Arabidopsis thaliana: one gene and its partners. The protein of the gene in region 2 interacts with the protein of the main gene of each other region in a pairwise test. Each region holds a gene or a part of one and is shown on either strand. Other genes may lie near its edges.

Region 1 (11,210 bases), on a different chromosome or scaffold from region 2:
AATAAGATCAACATTAATAAAATAAATAGTTTTTTTTGCAGGATGGGTTTTGCGGGACGGGTTTGGCAGGACGTTACTTAATAACAGTTGTAAACTATAAAATAAAAATATTTTATAGATAGATACAATTTATAAATTTTTATATATACTAACTTTAAAAAATAAATTGTCCCCACGGTGTACCGCGAGTTAAAATCTAGTGCATCTTATAGCTGCAAAAAAAACAGTTATACCATATCTCTACAAGATACTAAAAACTTGTATACTAACAAATATGGGTTAATGTTTTAAAATTGTCCAAGTAAATCCCCTATTTATAGCAAACATACACTCAATCACACCCATAAAAATTATTTTAAGAGAGAGACGAAAACTTCACAAATATCACATATTTCAATCACAAAATACATTTTATTTCCCATGATTCGTCAATCATGTGATCCATTTTACAAGTTGGTCACTCTAATCAACAATTACCATCATGAGAGATAACATATGCTTACATTGTCCCTTCACAGTAAAATAACAACATAAAGATATCGCAAATACACACATGCATATATATGGAAAGATTGCACACAAACACACACTCACATATATAGTTGCACAAATTTGGCATATACTAAGTCGAGCAAGACAAGTCTGGTTCTAGAATTTAGTTGTGAAACGGGTGCTTTCCATTACGTGGTTGGCGTTATCGAGTTCAAAAGCTTCACGTCTATGAAATTCTTTGATCTGCATCACAGTGCATGGCAATGAAAAAAATTCTGAATAAACAAAATAATGCGAAAAAATGCAAATCATTTATTTCGCGATTCTTTCTTACATCAATTACCTCATCAAGCGGCACATCTTTGAACTCTGGAAGAACTTGACGCTGAGTGAATTCAATGTATGAAGCTGGGATTGTTTCAGTTACTCCATCTGCAAATGTTACCGGAAGCCTTTCCGAGATCGATGAAACTTGAAATAGTAGACCATCTTGACTCACTGCAATATGTATGTCCACATTCATTAATCATTTCTATTGAACAACATATTTAAATAGAAACGTTTCAAGAAAGTAACTCATGATGGGAATATAAGTATTAAAAAACCTTTGAGGATTTCTCCGTCACTGTTGAGTTTGAATCCCTTTTCCTCAAGACGCTGTTTGACGAATTTGATGTCACTGAAACGATGTTTGAATCGATGAACCGCAAAAGCAAGATGATTCATTGTGTAGCCGTGGATAAGCGTCCATGCCGCAAATTCGCTTTCTCTGCATCATTCATACATACAATTCCAAATAATTAGCTCTAACCATTAAAATAGTTATAAAATAAAAAAATTTAAAAACAAAAACAAAACTCAATTCTTACTTCTTCTTCTTTTTTTATAAACATTTCAGAAAAAAATAGTGTTCATCTATCATTTTTTTTTCTGTTTAAGTGCTGATCTATCAATTTCTCAAAGCTTTGTTAGAAACTACCATTTTTTTGTACTTGTTCATCAAAACTTGTCCTTAATACCATCGAACCTATCACCCAAAATCTTATTTAATAAATAGTTAGTTACTAAATATGTACTAGTAGAGTAATACAGTATAGTTCGTGTAAGAGTATTCATTTTTATTTATTTAAAATAAATTAATGTATTTACAATTAGCTAGCTGTTAGATTTTGATAGAATGAATTACTTTTCTGAAATTTATCAAGTAAAGATATATGACTATTAATTGAAAGTTAATATATATACTTGGCAAGCTGCTTGAAGTCGGTCCATGTAGGCTTCTCCCATATTAAAGACCCCAAAGTACTAGAAAGAACCGCTTGCTTGCCACCTTCTTGTTTCAAATACTTCCTTATTATCCCCTAATCAATATATAGGACCAACAAAAGCGAAATTAGATATGTTAAAAACTCATAATGAAATTTTTGTGTCTGCGATCAACATATATACCTGTGATTCAGGGCTTAGTTCGTCCACAAGAACCTCAGCTATAACAAGTCGCGGCAAAGGGCCGTTGCCTAGACCGTGACCATCATTAGGAACGTGAACATCAGGTGGAGAAAACCAAAGAACTCGTAGTTTCTTCTTGGGAAAATCAAGTCCACCACCAATTTTATATCCATAAGCCATGAAAAAACTCGACAAGGAGTCTATTCCATAACCATCGACCTAAACTCATAACCCCAAAGAAAAAAAAGTAAAAACAAAATAATAATTTAAACAATTAGTTTCACCAAATCTTGAAGAGTAAAATTATTACCTTTAGTGTCCTGAAAGTGAAGTGGTCGTAGCAGATCTTTTCGTTGTCCAACGACTGAACCAGTTCCCATATTGTCTTCGCCGTCGGGTTCTTCCTTAGGTACGTTTTCAATATATTCTCGAACACATTCCGAAGAAATATTTCACTTTCTCCCTGTTAGATGCAGATTGTGTATTATCGTAACAAAAGATATTTCTCCTTCAAAAAAAATATAAATTTGAGAAAGAACCTTGAACGATGAACTGTGAGGCAAGTCGAAGGAACCCATGTTTGAGTTGTTTCTGAGAAATGAGCCGTTTGCTTTGTTGTTCTTATTTATTCTTGCTTATACTTATAAATAAAGGTTGGTGCATACCCCAAAAAAAAGGAGAGAGAAGGAGTCACTTAATTATTAGTATTTTAGTTTTTTTTTCTTGACGCATAGTCGCTCCGCTCACGATGATTAGCTGCGCAGGTAAGGACTAAATTTATATAAAATCGTTCAGCAAACGAATCTTTGTCTGATTCTATATTTATTTATATCAGTACTCAGTAAGAAAAACCAAGTGAAATGTTTCTCTTACTCCCTCTTATAGTTAGATCATGGATTATCGTGATTTTTGTTTTTGTAAATCATAATTAGAGAAAAAATTTAATTATGAAACGTTTGGCAAGTCAAGAGAACCGTTGCGGGACGATGCTTTAAGTGTACGAGAGAAACACAGCTTTGTTTGGTTTTTCTAATATCTTATCGTAAATTCGTATTTTATACAGCTAGAAAGAGTGGGAAAAAAAGCCAAGGATCAATGATTGCTAACGACAAGAATATAATTGGACTTTTCCAGAGCTAGTGGGGGGTAAAAACTATATTAAATGAAATAAATAATTTTTGGTATGTAACTATTTTGATCACTAATATAAAATGATACAAAAAGTTGATCCTTAAACCAACTTTGGAAATTGCTAAGCTACTAATTAGTAGACCATCTTCAATGATGTATCTTAAATGTATCTTAGACTAATATCTTAAAATTAAATTCTGAAAAATAAATCAAAACAAATTAAAAATTAAAGACTTGCTTCTTAGCTAAGAGGTTTTTATGAGTGAAAAAACAGTTACATGTCATGTTTCAAAATTTTATTGTAAATAATTGTTAAGATATTTGGTTAAGATCGAGGAATGCGATGGTCTAAAACACATAATACAACTGTTAGACTAATTTAGATCCAAACTATAATTATAAACGAATAATAGCTAAATGAAAAGGTTAAGTTCTCTAAGATATATTAACTACGTAAAAACACTTAAGGTTAACAACACAAAAAAAAACTAACAAAAGACAATGTGATGTCAGTTTCTCTACGTGAAACACCAAAATCCAATAATGCAAAAAGAAGAAGACACTAAGGTAAATGAAAGATTGGGCACGTTGGTCTTCAACCCCAAGAGGTGTTACGAGTCACCAAAATCAAGTGTCACGTTACTATCAAAAGATATTACATGCAAAAACACCACAAATACCACACCCCACCATGACACTTTGTTTTCCATTATTCGTCGGTAACGGGTAATATTAAGTTATACCGTCACTTCACAACACAAGAACAGAAATATCTCACACACAAATTGTCCAAATAAGATACAAAACATTTTAATAGTACGTACACATACTTGACATATTGAGCGGAACAAAACAAGCTGGTTCTATATTTACGCTGTGAAACGGGTGCTTTCCATTATGTGGTAGGCGCTAGCTTGCTCCAAGCCCTCGCGTCTATGAAACTCTTTGATCTGCATTACAACGGAAATATATAAAAATGTCTAATTATAAAAGAATTCGATTAATGTGAATTGCTTCTTACCTCATCACACGGCATATCTTTGAACTGTGGAAGAACTAGACGTTCAACGAACTCAATGTATGAAGCCGGGACGATTTGAGTTACTCCGTCTGCAAATTCAACCACAAGTTTCTCCGACATAGCCGACACTTGTAACAGTAGACTGTCTTCACTCACTGAAATATTTTTCCATACAACTTAAATAATGGTTATAGAATAGAACCAATCTAAATGAAAGATGTCATGTGAAGAATAAGTAAAGAAAACCTTTGAGGACTCCTCCATCCTTGTTGAGTTCGAAACCGTTTTCTTCAAAATACTCTTTGACGCATTTGATGTCGCTGAAACGGTGTTTAAGACGATGAACCGCGAAAGCAAGATGGTTCATTGTGTAGCCGTAGACAAGCGTCCATGCGGCAAATTCGCTTTCTCTTCATCATTTATAAAAATTTACAAAACTCAAAAATTAAATTAGCTAACCATCAAAGATACTGTGTGATTATTGATTATAAACTTAGAACATATACTTGGCAAGTTGATTGAAATCGGTGGATGTTGGCTTCTCCCAAATTAAAGACCCCAAAGTACTTGAAAGAACAGCTTGCTTACCACCTTCCGGTTTCAAATACTTCCTTATTATCTCCTAGTTAACCAGAAATTAGGACCAACAAAAAAGTTATTATGTATTATTAAAGACTCATTATAACAACATTATGTTTGTGATCACTAATACCTGTGACTCAGGGCTTAGTTCCTCCACAAGAAGCTCAGCTATAACAAGTCTTGGCAAAGGGCCATTGCCAATACCGTAACCATTATCGGGGAAGTGAACATCCGGAGGAGAAAGCCAGAGAACTTGTACTTTCTTCTTTGGAAAATCAAGTCTGCCTCCAACTTTATATCCATAATCCATGAAAAAACTCGCCAGGGAATCAATTCCATAACCATCGACCTAAACCCATACACCCCCAAAGCAAAAAAGAAAAAATCAATTTATACAATCAGGCCGGCCCCAAGTATTTCGGGCCTAAAGAAAAATTAAAAAATTTGAGCCCACTAACAAATACACTGGTAAAATAGAAAAAACAGGTCTCAAAAATTGCTGACATAAAAGTATAAAATTAAAACCATTTAGCGCTTATACTTTTAATTGATGCCGTTAATGTTAGAAGATCTCAAGGATTACAAGATGAGCTTGAAGAAAAGTATATATTTGCAAAGGCATCAATTAAAAGTATAAAACCACTTTTTTAATTGTTAAATAGGTAGATTTACTATAATCGTATTTGCAAAGAACTTGCTAATCAATATATTTGACCAATTTGTTAAGGTTTTAGATCCTCCTGCACACAATTTCACCAAATTTTTGAAGAGTAAATTCATACCTTAAATGTCCTGAAAAAGAAGTGGTCGTAAGAGATCTTTTCGTTGTCCACCGACTTAACTAGTTCCCATATCGTCTTCGCCATCGGGTTCTTCCTCAAATACGTTTTCAGTATACTTTCAAATACATTCTGGAGAAAGGTTTCACTTCCTCCCTGATAACAACATAATTAGTGTGTTATAGTGATGAGTAATTCATTTGATTTTTATAAATATAAACTGAGAAAAAAACCTTGAACGATGAAGCGTAAGGCAAGTCAAGAGAACCCATGTGTAGTAGGAATATCTTTGAGATCTTTATGAGAAACACAACTTTTGCTTGATTCTTCTCTTCTTTATCTTAAATTCGTAATTTATAATGCCAAGGGTCACAGTGTCAATGCTTCACTATGATAACTTGCGTACAAGGATTAATTGTTTTTTATTGAGCTAGTGGGGAAATCATTCTTATCAAATAATTGAGCGAACTACTTGCATCGAGAATTTTGGAAACATTATCATATCTTCATTTTGGTCAAATTTGTATCATAACGATAGTTGTCTTTCATTTTCTTGTTTCTTGCCTTTTTGCCATCTTGGTCAACTTTGGTGTTTAAATATTAGAAAATTTTGATAACTTTCAACTATTTACATTTTTCAACTAAAACCACCGAGTATTTTCCCTATCTACATGGTAGATTGTATTTTGATTATTACTCCAGTTTCGTTTCCCTCTTATCTATCTTTGGTTTAATGATAGATCCAACCAAATATGTTCCTTATTTTTGTTTCTCACTTGTGTGCTTCATAAAACTCTTATCTTCTCATTGGGTTTCCAGATGATAATAACAGTAAATGGGTGTTTGGTTATGTCCGACTAGATCAGTCAAAAGATGGCTATCATACAAACTATCATAAACTTAACAAATTTCTCAAAAGTGTAGCATTATTACGGAATTAAGATTTTAAGCACGTATTATTAATCGTGATGCCTTCAAAATTAGTGGGATAAATTAAATATTTTTGGTAGTATATGTTGATGATACCTTATTAAAGAAAATCATTCTTCAAAAAATTACTTTAGTACTATGAATTATGAATAATAAAACTGTAGTCTAACATTTTTCTGCGTACAAACAAAACATTCTTAGACTTGTGTTGGTTTGGCTTCCTTATAGAATATAATAGACGTCGTTTTATAATAAAAGAAAAAATAATTTATAATTTGCTTAAGAAAAACAAAGTTAATGAGAACAAGGACTCAAAAGAAGATAACATTAAGAAGAGAGGTTTTAAATGAAAAAGAAAATTCTCTATTGGTGTCACTCTACTCAACAATGGTCAATAGAGAGTTAACGTAATTCAAATACACAATTTTATGCATGATCCTAATATGTATAAAAATAATACATTGTTTTTCCCTCAATGAATAGGAATATACACAATTCCTTCTTCAAATTGGTATTGGAAGTAAACTCCTATAAAAAAAAATCCATAAACAAAGAATGTATGCATTCGCCATTAAGAAATATAAACTATACATAATTCTCAATAATCTAAGGTATTTTAGACTGTAACAAGAAAAGGTCAAACACACATACATACGTACGCCCTGATAACATCGTAATCTTCTCTTCGTCGGAAGCTTCTTTCAGCAAATCTCTTCGAGGACTCTTACACTCATGACATCCCCTCCTTCTCCCTTCGCTATTTCCCCTGCAGCCGCCGTAGCAGCAGATTTGCCTAATGACCCTGACCTGACCATCGTTGGTTTCTTGAAGTCACCAGATTCATTACCACTCTATCTCTTAATCGGAATGATCGTTTACACCGTCTCTATTCCACTACTGCAACTGCAGGTTTAGGCAGAAAACAAAACCCTTGAAGAAGGAGATTTTGAAGTCTCTCCCGAAATTAACATTCTCGCAGGAATGTGGTGTGAGGTTATGTAATAGTAGATGTGTGATATGTCTTGAGGATTACATGGTTAGTGACATTGTGAGAGTGTTGCCACATTGTGGACATCAGTTCCACGCTTTTTGCATTGACAAGTGGTTTCAGTTATGCTCCACTTGCCCGTCATGTCGCGGCATCCCAGTTATTTATCACCCTCTTTTAAATGTATTGATCCAGAAATAGTTGATTATTTAACTCTGTACATACATCTATGGAAACACCATAAACTTTTAACCTATTAACCACTTTTATTGCAAACATGCATCACATGATTAGGTATAATATAATTATTCCCCACATGTACTTTATTTTAAATTGCGTCAAAGTTCAAAAGTGGACACTACACATGTCAATAAACAAACTCCAATTCGAGGAAAAACCTCCAAAGTGCAAACCAAAATATCATAAGACCCAAGTTTTGGGGGAAAAAAGCCAAACCAACGAATAGATGTAAGAGAGCATTCTACGGCTCACGAGACCATTTGTATAAGTAAGAGTTTTGTTATATACATCCCGCAAGCCAAACCGCCATCAGGAAAACTTCCATATCAACACTTAGCTGAAGCAGCCCTGCATTCACATTTCCTTTATCACACCTCTATTATATCAACATATGAAACTCACAAGACAGAGACAGTGAAGCAAAGTGACCAAACCTTGATAACAATGGCCTCGACTTCACATTCACTTTACTCAAACTGATTTGTTTCACTGTGGTTGTCACCTGTGTGCCATTGCTTTTAAACAGCTCTTCAGCCAAGTTTTTCAGACCCTGAAACAGATTGGACGAAATATTGTTATCAGCAAGAGAAGAAGTTTCCATTTATTTTGTTAGAATAGTGCGAACAATCACGTTAAATACAAGCAAACGTGACTTCTTAAATAAATAAAACAGAAAAGACACCTTAGTTTCAACATCTGCAAGCAAATTACGAGCCCTCTGGTTTACAGGAAGCTGAAGCTGTTCCTGTAAGATTAAGTTAATTGCTTTGTAAGATAAACAACTATACAATATATTTGCACTGCAAAAGTTATAGATATTAAAGAAAAAGGGATTAGAACACTTTTAGGTTTTAACACCAAAAATAGACATAGTCATAACTATGGAGAGAAATAGGGAGATCAATTCGATTTTACATATCCCATATCTGAATTACCATTTCAGGCAGCTTTGTGCTCTTGCCTCCAAAATAGTTATACAAGTTTAGCATGAAAACATTTGTGACATCCTGCCACCAGAAACAGAATTAGAATCAGTACTGAGTTACCAATTGTTGGTGATTCTCTGGGTAATGATGCCTGCTTAATAGAACATAAAAGATGAATGTACCTGCTTGTATTCCAGCGTGTCCAACTTCCCATCCTGCAAAACAAGGTTAAATGCCAAAATAATTAGGAGATATACTAAAAGGAGTGAAATGCCATAGAGAAGGATTCTGATTCCTTATCTAATCTTAAAGACTGAATGATTCACAGCTGCAATCGCCTTAATCATGACAGATGCAGTAAAGCACATGCCAATTGAGTGTGAAAGAGAAGAAAACTATTGATATTCAGCATTGCTTATATATGGCATAACAAAATAAAACTAAGACTCACCAGTCCAGTAATCAAATTATGCAATGATTCCAAATCCATCTCAAGTGAGCTGATATTCTCACGAGCAGAAATAACCTGTGTAGCATAACCACAACCACATCACGTTCCAAAACTGTTCAAGACACTACAGATGCATAACAATGAAAGCCAATAGCTCTAATCATAGGAACTAAAGAGAAGGTAAACATCATCATTATCATACCTGGCTATTGATTTCCTTCGAGAGATCGATCTGCTTTTCTACCTTATCATCCAGATTCTGAATCCTTTGTGTTAAATGCCTTTTCGCAGCCTGACAATCAACCAATTAAGATCCAATTTTAACCCTGCAGCTTAATATATCACCAGAAACACCATACACAAAGCAACAAAAAAAACTCACCGCAAGAGTCTCAGAAACTTGCTCCAGATTCTTTGTCAAGTTAGCCACTGCAGCAGCCATGTTGGCTTTTGTCACATACATAAGGTCAGTGAATGAGAGTCCCTAATCAGTGAACAATCACAAACAGTTTTTAGTTCCCTTACAACACTGAAATCTCTTTTCAACAAAACAGCAGAATTCACAAGAGAAGAGATTGAAAACTTAGTAATCCCACCTTCCACCACATATAACCATATCCGAGAGCTCCCAATGCCGCAGCAGGAACAGCAAGGGCTTGTAGGTTTGCTGAAAAAACAAGAGAGTCTGATGAACACACACACACACAGAGACACACTTAGCAAAACTATTTGAGTAGAAATACAAATCCCTAATCTTCACATACCACCAGAAACTCCATTCATGACCGTTATGTGTTGCTGCGAAGCTAGCTGTCGAATCTCCATAGCCAACCGGCGAACCTTCTCACCAATATTGCAAAAGATATCAATACCATCCCTCACCAATATTCCTATATCCAATGAATATGAGTTTATGTACCTGTGCAGCTATAGCATCAGAAACATCAGAATCTCCCTCAGACCCTTCTCCAGATTTCTCCATTCCCTTCACCAAACTCTATCGAAAGCACAAATCAATTAGTCAAAAATAAAAAAATCAAGGAGAGAAACAAAAAAAAAAATGCATAGAATCAAAAAAGTACCTGCAATTCACCCAACAAATCCGACAATTTTCCATTCTTCATCATGATCGTACCAGTGTAACCTTGATTCCATCAAATCGAAAAACGTATCAGGAGGATATACAGATCCCAATTAGCAGTAAGTAAACGAGCGAGTTAGATTGAGCAGAGAAATCAAAGTGAAGTACCTGCTCCGGCTAAGAGAAAGATCCTGGATAAGCCAACTCCGGCCTGCATCGCCATAGCTCCGACTATTTTTACACCGCCGCCGACGACTTGTCGAGCTTTGTCTCAAAAATCGAATTTAATTTAGGTATTAAGAAGACGAACTCATGGTTTATTTTTCTTATTGCATTTTTTTTTTAAACGTGCTAGTGCAATTTACTTGGAAACGACGTCGTCTCGAAACTCAATTTCAACCGCCTCAACTCGCGGCGAGAAAAGCCACATCGCCGGTGATTGACTTGAACATTACGTAATTTTAGTGTCGCCACGTGGCAAATTCCTTTTTTGTTTTTAACAGACGTAATCATATTGATAATCTTGTTAAATATTTTTTTTAGTAATCATAATTTAATAAAGTTTATCTCTTTTAAGTTTATGTAATCAAATAAATGTCGGAATTTTTTTCTGCTAAGAAACAAGTTAAATGCAATGGTTTAGAATTGGATTGTAACAGACCAAAAATGGATCATAAATACCTGAAAAAGTCTAATCTCAAATAATAATTTCTATGTTAACATAAACAAAAATGGTTTAATGTGGTTATGGGAGCTTAAGAGTGTGACCATCTATCCATTTTATTGCTCATAATCCTTCTTTTCTTGTTAGCCTTGTTCTTTGCAGCTAACTTGAGTTTCTTCTTTGCATTTCTCTCAGGATGTATCACCGCCATTAGCTTCTCCTCTCGTTTCCTCTTCTCTTTTTTCGCTTCCTTACTCTTTTTGATTTCGCCTTAAACTTGCACAAACATTTGACTGCCTAAGCTCTTGTCTCTTATACTATTAGATTGTATATAGTATTCCGGTTTGATTAGATTGGTTTAGCTATTTAGAGATTGTACATTGGTTTAGATGGTTTAGAGTAATTGTATATATACTCTCATTGTAACACATTTATTCTTCGAGGAAATAGAAAATCATTCTACAATTCTCTTTGTT
Region 2 (6,159 bases):
GAAGAAAACCTAGTGGAAGGTTTAAAGTTGTAAACTTTCCGACCAAATAAACAAAATCGTTTTCCAGCTTCTTCCGTCGCCACTAAACCCTGAGGCTAAACCTAGACGAGTCAAAGTGTAAAATCGTTAAACCCTAAGAGGGAGTGAGAGAGAGAAGAATGAAGTACAACAACGAGAAGAAGAAAGGAGGAAGCTTTAAGAGAGGAGGTAAAAAGGGTTCGAATGAAAGGGATCCATTTTTTGAGGAAGAGCCGAAGAAACGGAGAAAAGTCAGTTACGATGACGACGATATCGAGTCTGTGGACTCTGATGCGGAAGAGAACGGATTTACTGGCGGAGATGAAGATGGGAGAAGAGTTGATGGGGAAGTGGAGGATGAAGATGAGTTTGCTGATGAGACGGCGGGAGAGAAGCGGAAGAGATTGGCGGAGGAGATGCTGAATAGAAGGAGGGAAGCGATGAGGAGAGAGCGTGAGGAAGCGGATAATGATGATGATGATGATGAAGATGACGATGAGACTATTAAGAAGAGTTTGATGCAGAAGCAGCAGGAGGATAGTGGTAGGATTCGAAGACTTATTGCATCGAGGTAAGGAAGAAATTTAGTACCTCAATGTATTCAAATTAGATAGTTTAGGTTTGAGATTGTTGGTAATTTAGGGTTTGTGGGTAGTTAGTGTTTTAGGGAGCTGGTTTAATTGTGAAGAAACTTAGTGATTTTGTACATTTCTTAGGTCAATTTGATATCTTTGAAGATTGGTTGATAGTAGTATTGATTAAAGTTTTTCAATGATTCAGGGTTCAGGAGCCACTAAGTACTGATGGGTTTAGTGTTATTGTCAAGCACCGACGATCTGTTGTGTCGGTAGCTTTATCGGATGACGATTCTAGAGGATTTTCAGCTTCAAAAGATGGTACTATTATGCATTGGGATGTATCTTCTGGTAAAACTGACAAATACATATGGCCAAGTGATGAAATTCTCAAGTCGCATGGGATGAAATTGAGGGAGCCTCGTAACAAAAATCACAGTAGAGAATCTCTTGCTTTAGCTGTTAGCTCTGATGGTCGTTATTTGGCCACTGGAGGAGTTGACCGTCATGTTCATATTTGGGATGTTCGTACCCGAGAGCATGTCCAGGTAATGATAATAAATTTGGTTTTTGTTTAGTGTTTTTTTTATTTGTTCTTCATCAAGTCTTGCGCTCAGGTATTACAATTATGTGTCTACAGGCCTTTCCAGGTCACCGGAACACAGTTTCTTGTCTATGTTTCAGATACGGAACTTCAGAACTCTATTCTGGTTCATTTGATAGAACTGTGAAGGTGTGGAACGTAGAAGATAAAGCATTTATAACTGAAAATCATGGACACCAGGGTGAAATTCTAGCCATTGATGCACTGAGGAAGGAGCGTGCACTTACGGTTGGAAGAGATAGAACCATGCTGTATCATAAGGTAATAGTTCTATCCTCCATGTAAACACTGTTGGAAGATATCATCATAAGGTTTCTATTATTATTCTGTATTTGTAAGTCTTGTTATATGATTATAGGTGCCTGAGAGCACCCGTATGATCTATCGAGCTCCTGCATCGTCTCTTGAGAGCTGCTGTTTCATCAGTGATAATGAGTACCTGTCTGGTTCGGATAATGGAACTGTTGCTCTTTGGGGCATGTTAAAAAAGAAACCGGTGTTCGTTTTCAAGAATGCACATCAAGATATACCTGATGGGATTACCACCAATGGAATCTTAGGTGAAACCTAATTTAGATCCTCCCCATTTCATCTCTGTTGCAGTTGGATCTTGACATTGCAGTATATAGTTATAAAACACTTTTGTTTCGTTGCAGCTACTGATGCTCTGAAATATCTAATTCTTATTTATTTGCTTAACAGAAAACGGTGATCATGAACCAGTCAACAATAACTGTTCAGCAAATTCTTGGGTCAATGCAGTTGCTACTAGTAGAGGCAGTGATCTTGCTGCATCTGGAGCTGGTAATGGTTTTGTGCGTTTGTGGGCTGTTGAAACTAATGCAATTCGACCTTTGTACGAGCTTCCACTGGTAAATTTTCGTTCACTAGTTATATTCCTTAGTGTTGTCTGATGAATCTGTTGTTTGTGACTGTGATTAATGCATTTCACTTCACCAAGTAATAATCCTTGCAATGCCTTGTTTGATCTTACAGACTGGATTTGTCAACTCTTTGGCTTTTGCAAAATCGGGTAAATTTCTGATTGCCGGTGTTGGACAGGTATGTGATCATCTCTTATGTTCTCTTCCCTCTTCTTTTTTTCTATCTTTGTCCTCTTGTCTGTGTGATTGCTAATCTCAAAACTGATCGTGTTTTGTGAAATCGACATGGCAGGAAACTCGATTTGGAAGATGGGGATGCTTAAAATCTGCGCAAAATGGTGTCGCAATACATCCCTTAAGACTGGCATAAGTATTTCATTGGGATAAATGAAGCGTTGTTATGGATAGTTTTGAGTTGCTAAAAAGCCAAAGATCTAATCGCAAGTCATATAGGGATTACATTTCCTTGTAGCTCTTGAAGTTTTTGCTCCCTTTTTTGTTTGTTCCTTGTACCATTTTTTCTTAATACGAGAGATAAGAACTTATCATTTTGAGGCTCTGAAGAATCAAAGAGGATAACAGTTCCCAATTTTTTCATTCTCTCAGTAAAGCTTTTTGTTTCGTTTTCCCAAATGTTGAAGATAAGTATATGAAAAGGCAAATTATTAAACCAAGATCCATAGTGAACACAGACTTGATCGTAATTTATCCGGCGAAAAGAAGATTGCTTTTCCAAACAAAAAAGACAAGAGCCTACTACTTGAATGAATTCTCTTAAGTCAAGCTTAGAATCCCTAGAGACAATTTCTTGATGTCTCTTGGTCTCGTTGCTGCTCCATTCTGACTAATAGCTTCAACTGGATAAGAAAAACCAGCAGAGAATTGATAAGAAAGTTCCAAATATCCAAAACATACATAGAATACCACAAAATGAAGACTTGAAACAAGAAAAATGCAAACAGCATTGAAAGAATAACTAAACAAGAACATATCCTGCAAAAAAAACGAAAATGATACATAATAATCCAAAGACTCGAGCCTATATGCAGAGAAGTTCCAGAGGAAGGTCATGCTTCCAAAAGTTTCCATTTTAACATTGCAAACACTAACTCATGTACAAGTGAGTGATTCTCATTCACTTATTTGCTAATATGCATATAACTCGATCTCAAACTAACCAATAAGTATCATACTACCTGAAATCTAGCTAACCATCAGTTTTGAGATATTTTCTACAACAAAGTAAACCCAAGAACACAGCTTTGACATCAGAGATCAATACTACCAACCATCAATCCTAAACCCTGAATCATTCCATTGTTCGAAAAACAAACTGTTAAATCTCATATCCAAATCAGAAACAAGAGAAAACGATAAGCATAAGACAAAAATCTCTAACCTTTATTGACTCATCTCAACTTCTCTTTATTTCAGACACTTTCTACAACAAAGTAAACCCAAGACTCAGTAAACTACTAACCATCATTCTTAAATCCTGAATCATTCCATTGTTCGAAACACAAGCATTCAAAGCTCATCTCCAAAGCAAAAGCAAGAGATAAGACAAAATCTCTAACCTTTTAAACGAAATCATCTCAACTTCTCTTTACTTGAACTCTTCTTAGCTGCATCCATAACCTTCTCAAGATACCCTTCAATAGGCGGTGTAAGAGTAGCCATACCTCGATTCGCCGGAAACGGTGTCAAATCAGGCTCTAACGCCGCCTTCTTCAGATTCTCCGGCAATGCCTCAATAGCAGATTTCTTCAAATTCAAAAGCGCAGTTTCAGCTGCACGACGCTCTCTATGCTCTCTCATCAACACTTTACTATACTCCTTCGCAAGTCTCTCTCCATCTTCTTCCGTAAGCTTATACTTAGGCAATTCCTCAGCTTCAAAAATCCCTAACGAAATGTAATCCAAACCTGGCGTCCCAATTCGCATCGGCTCATCGGTGACTCCCATTGAAGCAGCTCCTCCTTTCTTCTGGATCTCCATATCTCGTTGCTTCTCTTTACTAATCAAACCTAGCTTCTCACGTTGCGCCTCACGCTCGATCTCTTGGGGGGTCAAGTAGCGAACAGGACAAGGAGCGTTTAAGCATTGCTCGTAGAGTTTCTGCTTCTCATCGGAAATTCTACCTTTTCCTTTAACTGCTTCCTCTCCTTCAACAGGTGCTCCGCCGCCGCCACCACCTTTCTTGATGGAGAGTTTGTTACGCTTCAATGGCTGACCTGTCTTCAGCTTTGCTTTTCCTTTAGGAGTTCCACTTGCGGAGCATCTTTGGATAAGATGGTAACTCAGTGATTCGATGATCGCTTTTGGTTTCGTAACTCGAATCATGCTTCTGATTCACCTGAGTTTCTGATTGCTTTCGTCTGAAAATGTTGCTTGAGTACAGAGATTAGGGTTTTCGACTCTCGACTGTGGAAGAAGAACACTGAACTAACGACGTCGTTTTACATCAAGTTAAATAAATCACGATGTCACAAAACTGTAAATTCAGCTTAAACCGAGGGTTTTCTTGTCTTTTAGAAAACTCCAATTTGGTTTCTTGGTTCGGTTTTCCATTTCTTTGTATACCGAATGAGAACCGACGTTAATTTTGAATTGATTTGGTTCAATTCGATTTAATTTTTGGTTATTGTTTCGGCTTACCACCACATAACCGAAGCTTCTTTCTGAAAACAAATTCGATTTTACTTTTCCAGAACTGAGAAGAAATTTGCTGAATTCAGTCTCATGCAACTTGTTAAATTTCTCACTATTAACAACGAATTTGGCTTTGGAAACTGTAACCTCCAAGTACCAAATACAAGTAAAATACAAAGAACGTGGTGAAAAGTAAAGAAGATCCAACACAGACAAAAAGCAATTTGTCCACTAAGATCTCTCGAGAGCCAAAAAAAAGTTGAGAAATTTGCAGTCAGTATGGGCTGCTCTGTTGTTGTCTCTTCTGGGCCTTGAAAGGATCTTCTTCTTCCCCTCACCTTCTTACTATAAACCCAGAATCATCCTCTGTTTCTTTTGTTCCTCAAATCATTTTTTTCCTCTCGATTGTGAGATCAATTATTAATATTCATCTGGAGAATTATCGTCTCTTTTCTCCATTGCTATGGCTCTCTCAACTACTCCTTCTCAGGTTTTCATTTTTACCATTCTAAACCTTTTTGGTTCCTGAGATTAAGTTTCGGATTTAATGAAAGTTTGGTTTTTGATTTTAGATGTCCGTTGCACTTCCAACTAGAATTGATGGGTCGAGCCGATCTATGATTAAGGTGAGCAAAAACGATCTAGATCACTAGATTACCGATCTTTGTCGTTGAGATGATTACATGGTCCTCAAAGTTTTTGTCTTTTGGTTTTCTTATTGTGTTGTTTAGTTCTGATGTAGACTTGTTGTGAATTTGGTATTGAAAGGTATAGTCTTTACAAGTAGAAGATTACAAAAAACTGGATTTTGCAACTCTTGAGCAATGATATTGAATCTCAATTATTTTGTACCTCAGGTTCAAAGTATAAGCTTCACTGATAAGTCATGGGGTCCTCCTCTGCTGAGACTAGATTCGAAATCTAGAAGCTTAGGTGTGAAAAAAAGGTCCACAATATGCATGTCACTTCAGCAATCAAGCAAATCCAAAGTCTTGGTTACTCCTCTAGAACTTGAAGATCCCAAAGAGACTCCCTTAAACTTGTTTAGGCCTAAGGAGCCTTATACTGCAACTATTGTTTCGGTTGAGAGAATTGTTGGTCCACAAGCACCTGGAGAGACTTGCCACATTGTTATTGATCATGATGGTAATGTTCCTTACTGGGAAGGACAAAGCTATGGAGTCATTCCTCCTGTAAGTGATTTTAACTCTATTGCTCATAACGCATTGCCTTTTGCTGATAAATGATTTGGTCTCTCAGATTTGGTAACATATCTGATTATATGTGCTCTATTCTTGACTCGTAGGGTGAGAATCCCAAGAAACCTGGTGCACCTCATAACGTTCGCCTTTATTCGATTGCATCAACACGGTATGGAGATTCTTTTGATGGCAAAACAGCTAGTCTATGTGTCCGTCGAGCTATT
Region 3 (10,976 bases), on a different chromosome or scaffold from region 2:
TTCTCGACCACCTGGTTTTACCACTCCAAATGGATACACCACCCTCTTCTTCTCGTCATAGTCATTCTTTTCTGTAATGCACAAGTGTTACGTCAGTGTTTATTCGGGATCGGACTTTGTGTTTAAAATGCTTTGCATGTGATTAGAAACACATAATTTTATTAATATTAAATATTTTATAAACGCAAAACGCAAATGAATAAAAGTGAAATTTCATGATTGATTTGTTTAATTATAGCTACTGTGGACAATTACGCATAAACAAAAACGAAAAAGTCCCATATAATTCACTACTTCGGAAGAAAATACAATATGCTTACTTGACGTGGACGAGGATGGTTCGAAAGAGTTTCTCGACGAAATTGAGGATTTTTCTTCAGAACATATATTGATGGAAGAATTTGGAGATTCGTCTGTTTAAATATAAGAAAATTATTCACAAAGATTATTCAATTAACTTACTATTTATATTAAAACAGCACTAATGTATTGATCATTTATATGTTAATAGTATTAAATAATAAATATGCCTCAAAAAAATATGGGTGATAATAATAAAGAAGTAGGTCTCACCTGCAAACTGACTACTCGTGCAACTATAATTCTCAGACAGACCCCAATGATTCTGCATTATTATATTCCGCGATCAACTAAATCAGTTTCATAACAAATGAAAAATACGGAATAATTACGTAAATGACAAACCAAAAAACAGAGTAGTAATTATATAAACCTGAGAATGGTCTAAATCGTTATCTGGTTTGTCCTCGGCGCCGTTGAACGAGAGACGTCTCCGTTTGCTTCTCCCACTGAATTCAATGAGTGCGTCTTCAAGGTATCCGGTGGAAACGTCCCCGATTTCCATCTCCGGTGAACAGAATATATTCTCCGGCGATTCATCAATGAGCCCCCATGCATCTACAAGTACATTGCATGGCCAAATTCCTCACATTATGTGTGTGTATAGAAAAAAAAAAGTATATATATATATATATATATATATATATCTTTAATGAAATTTTCTTGAATTACTAGCACAAATTAAATACATTCATCTTACAACGAAAATATACTTTTTCTTTGTTTGCACGAATCCACCAGCAAACTTAACATAAATCATTCTATAAATATACATAAAAGAACTGTAATATAAAATCGTTGTTGTCTATACCTAGATTGAAGTTTTGGTTGAAGAGTGATCCAAGGTTATGGAGATCCCAAGAGGGGAGAGAGTATGAAAGCTCACTCATATTTTTTTTAATGATTTGTGGATTGACTGTGAATGTGTTGAATTAAGGTGAGACCATGTGGCTGCCTATATATCTTGGTGGGTTGTGAGTAAAAAGTTAAAATAAATTGAAATTAATCCAAATAAAGCATGAAAATGGAAAAGAAAAAGGGGAAAACAAGTTAAAGCAGAGAAGAAATTTGGAAGGAGAAAAATCAGTACTCAATACAGTCAACTATAAAGAAAAGATAATTACACTAATGGTTGGACAGTCTCTGCCCATCAGGATTTATTTCATACAAAATAATACTATCAATTTTAGTGGTTATTTGTGACATGGTGAAATGACCATTTTTAACTGCATTTCTTACTAAGAAAATAAGTTTTCAATATGATTTGTGACTCCACCATTACAATAATTTAAGGTAAACAACAACTTAAATTGTGAACGATATTGAAATGCAGTCTGATTAACGAATCTCTCATTCGTGTTGTAAATTAATTTGTTATTCAACAAGAGTGTTAATACTTTTTCTTACAATACATATATGATGAGGTGTATAAATACAAACTATATGTCAATGAGAAATGAATTGATATTGACCAATGTGTAAAACAAAAATGGAACAAATGTAAACTAGGTTTTGAAATTTGAGTGGGGTTAGGTAATGGGGGACTGAATAATGGCTAAAGGCGATGAAACTATCATCATGATGTCTTTGTTCTAATGCTGCTCATGCATGTTACTCATGGAAGAGAGAGAAAGTGGTACTGTGGTAGATGCATGATATATCACTTGATTAATTAGTCGTGTTATGTATATAAGTATATTAGTACAACAAATATATGAATTTTTGTTTATTTTGTGGTTTGTATATCTACTACATGAATCATAAATTTTCAATCATATATATGAATATGATGGGTTTAATATGCGTAACCTACTTATCGCCAATTGCAATATTGTCCTTCCACTTAGAATTAGCTGATAGTGAATATATATATATATACACTTGAAAAACATGATTAGGACAAAAACGGGTTTAGTTGTTTAACTATCATAAAACGTAAAAACAAATGTCGTTTAAACCTATCAGTGCTATATATAATGATTTATAGTTACAATTTAGATAAGTGAAATGCGAAACTATGTAATCCTATATTCAACCATATTCTGCTTAAAATACAAAATTCTACATAGAATCTATGTAATCTGTATTGATGTGAAACGTTTAACATAAATACAACGACGAGATGCACCGGTTTGGTAAGATGGGTTATCAAAGTCATGCATGTTGACAAAATAAATGAATTCAGAGATACACATAAGAGAGGATTTCAAATTTGCAGCTTTATCTCTGTATGTATTATTCTTCAAAGCAAAATTTGCTTTCTGATTTGGTGAACAACCTGTTCTTCTATTATTAGGTACTTTTTTCCTTAGACTTATATACTTTCATTTCTTCTCCATCGTGGGGTCATGTCATATCCTGTCACGTTTACTCCATCATTACTTACCTTTTATTTCAATTTTTGTTATTTCTAAGGACGAGATAATATAGCACAACGCAAGCATAATTACTAAACACGACTTAAAACTTGATAAGAAATTTAGAGATTATCATTACTTACCTAAGATTCTTGAAGTTAATTGGATCGAACAAGTACACAGTATGACTTACTTAGCATTTGTTGACAACAAAAAGAGAAAATAACTTTGCGTTTGTATTAATGGGACAAAAAAATAGATTACTTGTCACCGAGTAAGAATGCTTTTTCTCGATTGTAATGCATATAGCCGGCATACGGATTTTCAGTGGGGTCGAGTGTAGGCATGCCGGAGGGACCCATTTGGAAATTTAGAAAGATTGCAACCGTATCATCTGTGGGTCTCTTCTTTAAATTCGAGTTTGAATGGTCCCAAATATATATATTGGTCAAATTTTATGATTGCAAATTTGCATTTACTTGGTTTTCTTGACGGTTGTCCCTAGAATTGAGAAATAATGAGTTGATATTTAATATTTTGGAAAATAATTACACACGTATCGGAGTTGTGATTTAGATATAATATCCAAAAGTTTCGCAAGTTTTATGGATCAAATAACAACTTTTGTATTCGATCATGTAGTAAGTTTTTTTTTGTTTGTTAATAGTTTCCAACTATATGTTTATTCAACAAGACTACCAATTGTAAGCTAACCACATTGGTCATCATCGAACTACTTGTCTCAAATTTTTAATGAAACGTTATAGATGTTAGTTGGTATTTAGAAATAGTTGATTTTGTAAAACCATAAATTATTTATTTTCATACGTAGCATTGAAAACGTTACCAATACGATATCCAATATTTAGTATGTATAATTTTCAAAATTTCAAACCATATGACTGATCCATGATCGAATCCTCTTTATATTTTTTTCATGGGTCCGAGTAGATTTTTAATATCTCATGTTGGAGAATCCTGAGATTATTTTAAACAAGAACCATTTACGACAAAAAACAGAACCATTTAGTGGGGGTAGATTTTAGGTAAGATTTTATAATACCATCAACCAAAAGAATTATGACGGATAAACAAACTGCTATCACTTAATTGAATCCTCTTGTTAATTATATATATAGACAGATTAGGAGAATTATGTTATTACCAAAGCTGTGCTATATTTGTCTTTGCATGTGTTGTTCATTGGACGGTTCACGATCGCCGATCGGTAATCATGGTGAATCAAACGGTGATGATTGAAGCACAGGTTTGGCCTCGGTCGGAGATTTTGTCTCTTGCTATTATTTGGACCCATTGCTTCTTCTTTGTTTTTGCTTTATTAATAATCTATTCGGACCACACACACAAAAAAAAAGTCAAGTCCACACAACATACTTTAACCAAAAACACAGATGCTTCGATTTAAAAAGAATCGATAAGAGAGTGTTGTCACGGACCATTCTTCTGCATAGTCCGAGACATGTCGCGTTGTTTTCCCAAGACTTTACGTAGATTGATAAGTTTATGGTTCAGTAAAGTGTATGTATTAAGTGATAAACTAAAGTTTTATGTTTTGATGTATGAGTCGAAATAATGTTACAATTTCTTCATCAGATTCAGCTATGTAACTTTGCCCAAAAATAAAATAAAAAAATTCAGCTATGTATAACACAGATTTTATACCAGTATCTTAAATATTTATTTTCCGATGAAATATATGTGTAGTTAATTTTCTTAAAGGTAATCTAAATATCTATTACTTTTTTTGTCAACACCGTAATTACATGAACGAACCAAATTTTCATCTATCCGAATGCATAGCAAACCGGATTCTGGTTTGGTTATGTAATCCAATTTTAATTAGATCAAACCGGATTCTGGTTATGTAAACCAATAATTTTTCGATTCCGTCGAAATTGTTTTACCTGAAAGGGGATTTGGAAAAACCCTCTCACTCTCAGGCTCAAGCGCCGGCGTTCACTCTCTAACCAAACTCGATTTCGTTTCTGGGTTGTGAGATTGAGAAATGCCGAGATCATCTTTGCGGCTACTAGCTAAGCCTCTCTTGGAGAGCAGGCGAGGGTTTTGCACGAGCTCTGATAAGATCGTAGCTTCGGTGCTTTTCGAGAGATTGCGCGTTGTGATACCCAAACCGGATCCTGCCGTTTACGCTTTCCAGGAGTTCAAGTAAGCTCTCTCATCGCTTTGCTTGTGTTCTGTTTTTTCTTTGGTTGAGGAATGGTGAGATTTTGAGAGAAAATGGGGGGAAAAGTATAGTTGTGTGATTCAAAGACTGCTTTTTTATGTTGCGGAATGAATAAGATTTGAGTCATTGAGCACCGAAATTTTGATTTTACTCTCTGGTTCATTTTGATTTTGATCACGTTTTGGTCTTGATTTTGTTGCTCTATGGCAGATTCAATTGGCAACAGCAGTTTCGTCGTAGATATCCCGATGAGTTCTTAGACATTGCTAAGAACAGGTAAAAGTTTCTGTTTTTCTCAATCTTCTTTTGATATCATCATGTGTCCAAGCATATAATCTGCTCGAAGGTTTCTTCTGCATTCAACTTTGTGTCATCCTTGTTAGTTATTATGACAATAGCAAAGAATGTTAGATTGGGAGTTTTTCCGAGTAGCTCCGTGAGTTATTGTTGCTCAATTCTTCAGCAGAATTACCTTGCCTGAAGTGAACTATATTAGAAGTGTTACATGCTCATAGATATATAGTGAAGGTTCTGTATAGGTCAGTTTCATTTTTCTCCAAGTGCGGTGAAGCTTCTATGAAAATTTCATTTCGTCTTTGGTTAATCTTATGATACGTGAATACAGAGCCAAGGGTGAATACCAAATGGACTATGTACCTGCTCCTAGAATTACAGAGGCTGACAAGAATAACGATAGGAAGTAAGTTGTTGGCACCTCTTAAAGCTTCCTGGCCTGTTGTATTTCTCTTCGGTTGATGATTGATAGTTACTTTTGGGAAAATGCTGCTATTATAGGTCATTATATAGAGCCCTAGACAAAAAGTTGTATCTTCTCATATTCGGCAAGCCATTTGGAGCTACTAGTGACAAACCTGTTTGGCACTTCCCAGAGAAAGTCTATGATTCTGAGCCAACTCTTCGCAAGGTGTTTGTTTGATTTGATGCCTCTATTTCAACACACAAGACCATAAAATTTCATTCATGTGCTTATTGTTAATATGTAAATTCGGTATTTGCAGTGCGCGGAATCTGCTTTGAAGTCAGTCGTAGGAGACCTCACTCACACATACTTTGTTGGAAATGCTCCAATGGCTCACATGGCCATACAACCTACAGAAGAAATGCCTGATTTGCCATCTTACAAGGCAAGAACGAACGTTAACGGGGTTTTACTAGTATTAGTAATTTCAGAAGCTCAAGATTTCTAAACTGAATTTTGTTGTTGTGTAGAGGTTCTTCTTCAAATGCAGTGTAGTAGCAGCATCGAAATACGACATAAGCAACTGCGAGGATTTTGTGTGGGTAACCAAAGACGAGCTCTTGGAATTCTTCCCTGAGCAAGCTGAATTCTTCAACAAGATGATCATTAGCTGAGCCACTCACACCACAAAAACTCCTATTTTCATCCCTTCTTCTCCATCAATGTCATCTCTCTGGTATTAGACAGTGTGAGAAGGTCAATGTAATAACCAAACAAAACCATGTCTCTGGTTGTGACGTGAAGGAAATTTTTGTTGACAGTTGATCTGAAGTACGTAGTTGAATGTAGTTGTGGCTTCTTTCTCAACCTTTTTTTATACATCTCTCCGATAGATATTATATTACGTATCTTGATAAGAAATCACACACTCGTTGATTCGAGAACAGCTTGAAATATATATTGAGTATTGACCGTCGTAATTCCAAGCCCACTGGGCTTAAAACGAAATACCCAACTTGTAACCCAAATCTCTAATTTTTTCCGGTTTAATTTCTAATTTTTAAAATTAAAAATGTTTTTTGTATAGTGTTAAAAAAAAGGAGCATTTCAATTAGCCCTAGCAGGTTTTTTGTCTATGTCACTACTCTTCCTAAGAAGAGCCAAGCCGTTATTTGTATCTTGTTGTTCAGCTACTCATTCTCGCTCCAGCTTCTTATCTCCGACGCTTACGAATCAGCTAGTTCGTTCGTTTCACGGTTCCAGAACAATGGTACGATTTTGTAATCACCGATTGTTTGTTTCTCCGTTAGGATTACCCACCGGATTTCGAAATTCTGCTGCTATTTGTTTAAGTCTGAGAATTGAATGTTTGTTTTCTGAATTTCGTAGTCGGAATCAGAGAAGAAGATCCTGACAGAGGAGGAGCTTGAGCGGAAAAAGAAGAAGGAAGAGAAGGTTTGACTTGTGATTTTTTTCCCCATTTTTCTCAGAAACGTTTTCTGGAGTCGATTCAACGTGGTTGTGCTGTTCTCTTTGAGCTTGATTTTAACAATTTTGATATCTAGAATCTCATAGACGAGTGTGATTGAGTTTATTGTTCAATCATGGGACTAGCTAATAGAGATTGGATAGTGATAACTATGGATTACCCATTTGGAAAATGGAACTGATGAGATCGTATTGTTATTTTTAAGATAGAAAAGTTTGAGAAACCGTCTTCACTATATCAGAATGAAGAAGTGTTCTACATTTAATAGTTTGAGTACTTGGCACAAATTCGTATAATCATAGTTTGTGTTTCTTTTGGTGTTGTTTTAGAGTTGTATACTTTTGAATACGCCTTACATTTCATTTTTCTTTGTGTGGTGGGAGTTAGTTTTAAGTAAAATATTGACTCAATTTTGATTTTTTCAATCTCATTAATTTCATTATATTTTGTTCGAATTCAATTGTAATTTATTCATAGGCTAAAGAAAAGGAGTTGAAGAAGCAAAAAGCTTTGGAGAAAGAGAGGCTGGCTGAACTGAAGGTAAGCTCTGAGGAACTCCAATTATTCATTTCGGGTTCCTGCTTCATATGTATGTGTAATGTGCCAGCCAAATCCTTAATTTTCCCTGTAACTTGAAATATTTATCATGGTGTGCTTCTCGTGTAGGCAAAACAGGCCAAAGATGGAACTAATGTCCCTAAAAAGAGCGCAAAGAAGAGTTCCAAACGGGATGCGTCAGAAGAGAATCCTGAGGATTTTGTGGACCCTGAAACTCCTCTTGGAGAGAGGAAAAGGCTTTCTTCACAGATGGCCAAACAATACAGCCCTGCTACCGTGGAGAAATCGTAAGTGTGTAGATCTTTTTCTTTGACATTTATCCCAAGAAGTTCCTCTAGATAATCTCTGTTATTCTGTAATTGGGTCAGATGGTATGCTTGGTGGGAGAAATCTGACCTTTTTAAGGCGGATGCTAAGAGTTCCAAGCCACCTTTTGTAATTGTAAGGCCTAATCCGATTCTTAAATTCATGCTCGTTCTGGATTCGACCTTCTTTTTATTGTCTTCTCGAATACTTAATTTGTGAAAACCAAATTGAGTTGAGAAAATCTTGAGCTTCTGAAATTATTAATACTATTTTTAAAGTTTCTTTAATCCTTTGATTGATTCTGCAGGTTCTTCCTCCTCCAAATGTGACTGGAGCCTTGCATATTGGCCATGCGCTTACATCTGCAATTGAGGTTTCATTAGCATATTGTTTGGTGCTATAGCTGTCTATTGTTCCTCCCGATGATCAACGGCTTAATACTTGTTGATGCAGGATACAATTATTCGTTGGAAGAGAATGTCTGGGTATAATGCTTTGTGGGTACCCGGGGTTGACCATGCTGGTATAGCTACACAGGTGAGCCCCAATCTCATCTCCCATATTAGTTGAAGTTTCAGCCTATAGAGTGAATCCTCGTTGGGCTACAGGCTTGTAGCTTTATCTTATACACATTGTATATTTTTTTTTTACTTGGATGTACATTCTAGGTGGTGGTCGAGAAAAAGATCATGCGTGATAGAGGCATGACTAGGCATGATGTTGGCCGTGAAGAATTCGTAAAGGAAGTGAGTTGAAAATTTAAAATATGTTGATGAATAGTTTCCTTTTTTCATTATACAAAAATTCTTGTTTTGCTTGTGATCATGGAAAAGGTGTGGAAGTGGAAGAACCAGTACGGCGGTACAATTCTAACACAGCTACGGCGACTAGGAGCTTCTCTCGACTGGTCTCGTGAGGTAATATCCAGTAATTTGACCTTTCTTGGATAAATGTTATAGAAAATTGGCTGTTTTATTTATTTCGCCACTAGGTGAACATATATGTAAATGATATTTTTTATCTTCACTTGTGTCCCTGGGCTATCCATCTTACGGATGTGTTTCGGCCTGTAAATTTATAGTGTTTTACAATGGACGAGCAAAGATCAAAAGCTGTCACTGAGGCCTTTGTACGGTTATACAAAGAAGGGCTTATATATAGGTATGTTTAAGTCTGACTTTGTTCTTTGATGCAAGCTATAGAATTCCTGTAGATGGAAACAGTAATATACCGAAATTAGGATTATAGGACCATTTTACCTTTTTCAGTTATCTTGTTGTAAGAAAGAACATTTGACTGAAGGTATACCATGGCTTCTGCAGGGATATTCGGCTTGTTAATTGGGATTGTATTTTGAGAACAGCCATATCTGATGTTGAGGTAAGTCAGCAGCAACTGTTAGACTAAGATTGTTGGAGGGCATCCTGTTTATGTGGAGTGTCTAATATCTGTAGGTTGAGTATATCGACATTAAAGAAAAAACGCTACTAAAAGTTCCTGGCTATGAGAAGCCAGTAGAATTTGGTCTTCTTACCTCGTTTGCTTACCCTCTGGAGGGAGGCTTGGGAGAGGTAATTGTTGCCACTACCAGGGTGGAAACGATGCTTGGGGATACTGCTATTGCTATTCATCCTGATGATGCAAGATACAAGCATCTTCATGGGAAATTTGCTGTGCACCCATTTAATGGGCGGAAGTTACCTATTATCTGTGATGGAATACTTGTTGATCCAAATTTTGGTACTGGTTGTGTTAAGGTATACCTCTACCTTATATATTTGATGCTGGGTTTCTGCCCCTATTAGTTGTGTTTCTTGTGTCAAAGTTACTTAATTCTTATTTTGTAGATTACTCCTGCCCATGATCCCAATGACTGTGAGGTTGGAAAGCGCCACAAGCTGGAATTTATAAATATATTCACAGATGATGGAAAAATCAACACAAATGGTGGGTCTGACTTCGCAGGGATGCCACGCTTTGCAGCTCGTGAGGCAGTTGTTGAAGCTCTGCAGAAGCAGGTAACTTTCTCTAACTCTTCACATAACATATATAATTTTTCTTTGATTGTTGGTTTGAGAATTTTTGTTACACTATGGGTAGTTGCTTGTAAGTGTCTTGTAGATTTTAACTGTTTTGTCAATATATTATTCAGGGGCTGTACAGAGGTGCCAAAAACAATGAAATGAGGCTTGGACTTTGCTCAAGAACTAATGATGTTATTGAGCCTATGATAAAGCCTCAATGGTACGTTAACTGCAGCATGATTGGAAAGGAGGCTCTTGATGTTGCTATCACTGATGAAAACAAGAAACTCGAGTTTGTACCAAAGCAGTACACAGCAGAATGGAGAAGGTTTCTTTCATTTATCTTTTACTCTATAATGGTTTCTTAATCTACCCCATCTATAGAAGCTCTTACAGCACAGCTGTATGGATAAGCTGCGATGGCGGTTTAAGATGTCATTACACCATCTATTAACAATCTTTACCTTACAGATGGCTAGAGAACATACGTGACTGGTGTATTTCAAGACAGCTTTGGTGGGGACACAGAATACCAGCATGGTATGCCACTCTAGAGGAGGATCAGCTCAAGGAGGTTGGTGCATACAGTGACCATTGGGTTGTTGCTAGAACTGAGGACGATGCTCGAGAAGAGGCTGCTCAGAAATTTTTGGGGAAGAAGTTTGAACTCACTCGAGATCCTGATGTACTTGATACATGGTTTTCTTCTGGGCTCTTTCCATTATCTGTTCTGGGATGGCCAGATGTAACCGATGACTTCAAAGCCTTCTATCCAACTTCTGTTCTTGAAACTGGACATGATATCCTCTTTTTTTGGGTTGCTCGTATGGTTATGATGGGAATGAAACTAGGTGGTGAGGTTCCATTCAGTAAGGTACATGTACATTTTAAGTCAAACAAGGATCACACCTCCTTTTAGATGCAAGTATCACTGTGACCGGTACTTATATGCAAAAAACATATTTTATGTCTTTGC

The links.
Region 1: the proteins of AT4G05400 (region 2) and AT1G27020 interact in a two-hybrid assay, tested with the Arabidopsis thaliana proteins (one large-scale study listed by BioGRID).
Region 3: the proteins of AT4G05400 (region 2) and DECOY interact in a two-hybrid assay, tested with the Arabidopsis thaliana proteins (one large-scale study listed by BioGRID).

Annotation. Positions count from the first base shown.
Region 1 is NC_003070.9:9,373,151-9,384,360, reverse strand, and holds AT1G27020 (plant/protein), read right to left. Parts: upstream 5,958-11,210; 5' UTR 5,727-5,957; coding exon 5,688-5,726; intron 5,611-5,687; coding exon 5,458-5,610; intron 5,025-5,457; coding exon 4,806-5,024; intron 4,716-4,805; coding exon 4,600-4,715; intron 4,504-4,599; coding exon 4,340-4,503; intron 4,249-4,339; coding exon 4,094-4,248; intron 4,023-4,093; coding exon 3,942-4,022; 3' UTR 3,571-3,941; downstream 1-3,570. Other genes in the region: AT1G27030 (uncharacterized protein), read right to left, coding at 649-735, 836-990, 1,098-1,261, 1,738-1,853, 1,942-2,160, 2,252-2,404, 2,481-2,519; AT1G27008 (uncharacterized protein), read left to right, coding at 7,117-7,293, 7,463-7,573; AT1G27000 (GRIP/coiled-coil protein, putative (DUF1664)), read right to left, coding at 7,939-7,960, 8,047-8,162, 8,295-8,357, 8,548-8,619, 8,721-8,753, 8,990-9,064, 9,192-9,281, 9,372-9,473 and 5 more.
Region 2 is NC_003075.7:2,739,521-2,745,679, reverse strand, and holds AT4G05400 (copper ion binding protein), read right to left. Parts: upstream 4,521-6,159; 5' UTR 4,425-4,520; coding exon 3,672-4,424; 3' UTR 3,659-3,671; intron 3,523-3,658; 3' UTR 3,481-3,522; intron 3,335-3,480; exon of another isoform or gene 2,939-3,334; 3' UTR 2,731-2,938; downstream 1-2,730. Other genes in the region: YAO (Transducin/WD40 repeat-like superfamily protein), read left to right, coding at 159-589, 799-1,141, 1,234-1,458, 1,556-1,757, 1,900-2,069, 2,194-2,259, 2,374-2,451; RFNR1 (root FNR 1), read left to right, coding at 5,197-5,223, 5,306-5,359, 5,591-5,926, 6,040-6,159.
Region 3 is NC_003070.9:5,010,269-5,021,244, reverse strand, and holds DECOY (decoy), read left to right. Parts: upstream 1-4,536; 5' UTR 4,537-4,743; coding exon 4,744-4,904; intron 4,905-5,133; coding exon 5,134-5,199; intron 5,200-5,548; coding exon 5,549-5,623; intron 5,624-5,718; coding exon 5,719-5,848; intron 5,849-5,942; coding exon 5,943-6,068; intron 6,069-6,153; coding exon 6,154-6,297; 3' UTR 6,298-6,570; downstream 6,571-10,976. Other genes in the region: AT1G14630 (XRI1-like protein), read right to left, coding at 1-71, 321-413, 574-625, 734-918, 1,172-1,250; TWN2 (valyl-tRNA synthetase / valine-tRNA ligase (VALRS)), read left to right, coding at 6,759-6,893, 7,013-7,078, 7,590-7,652, 7,779-7,957, 8,039-8,111, 8,284-8,349, 8,430-8,513, 8,645-8,722 and 7 more.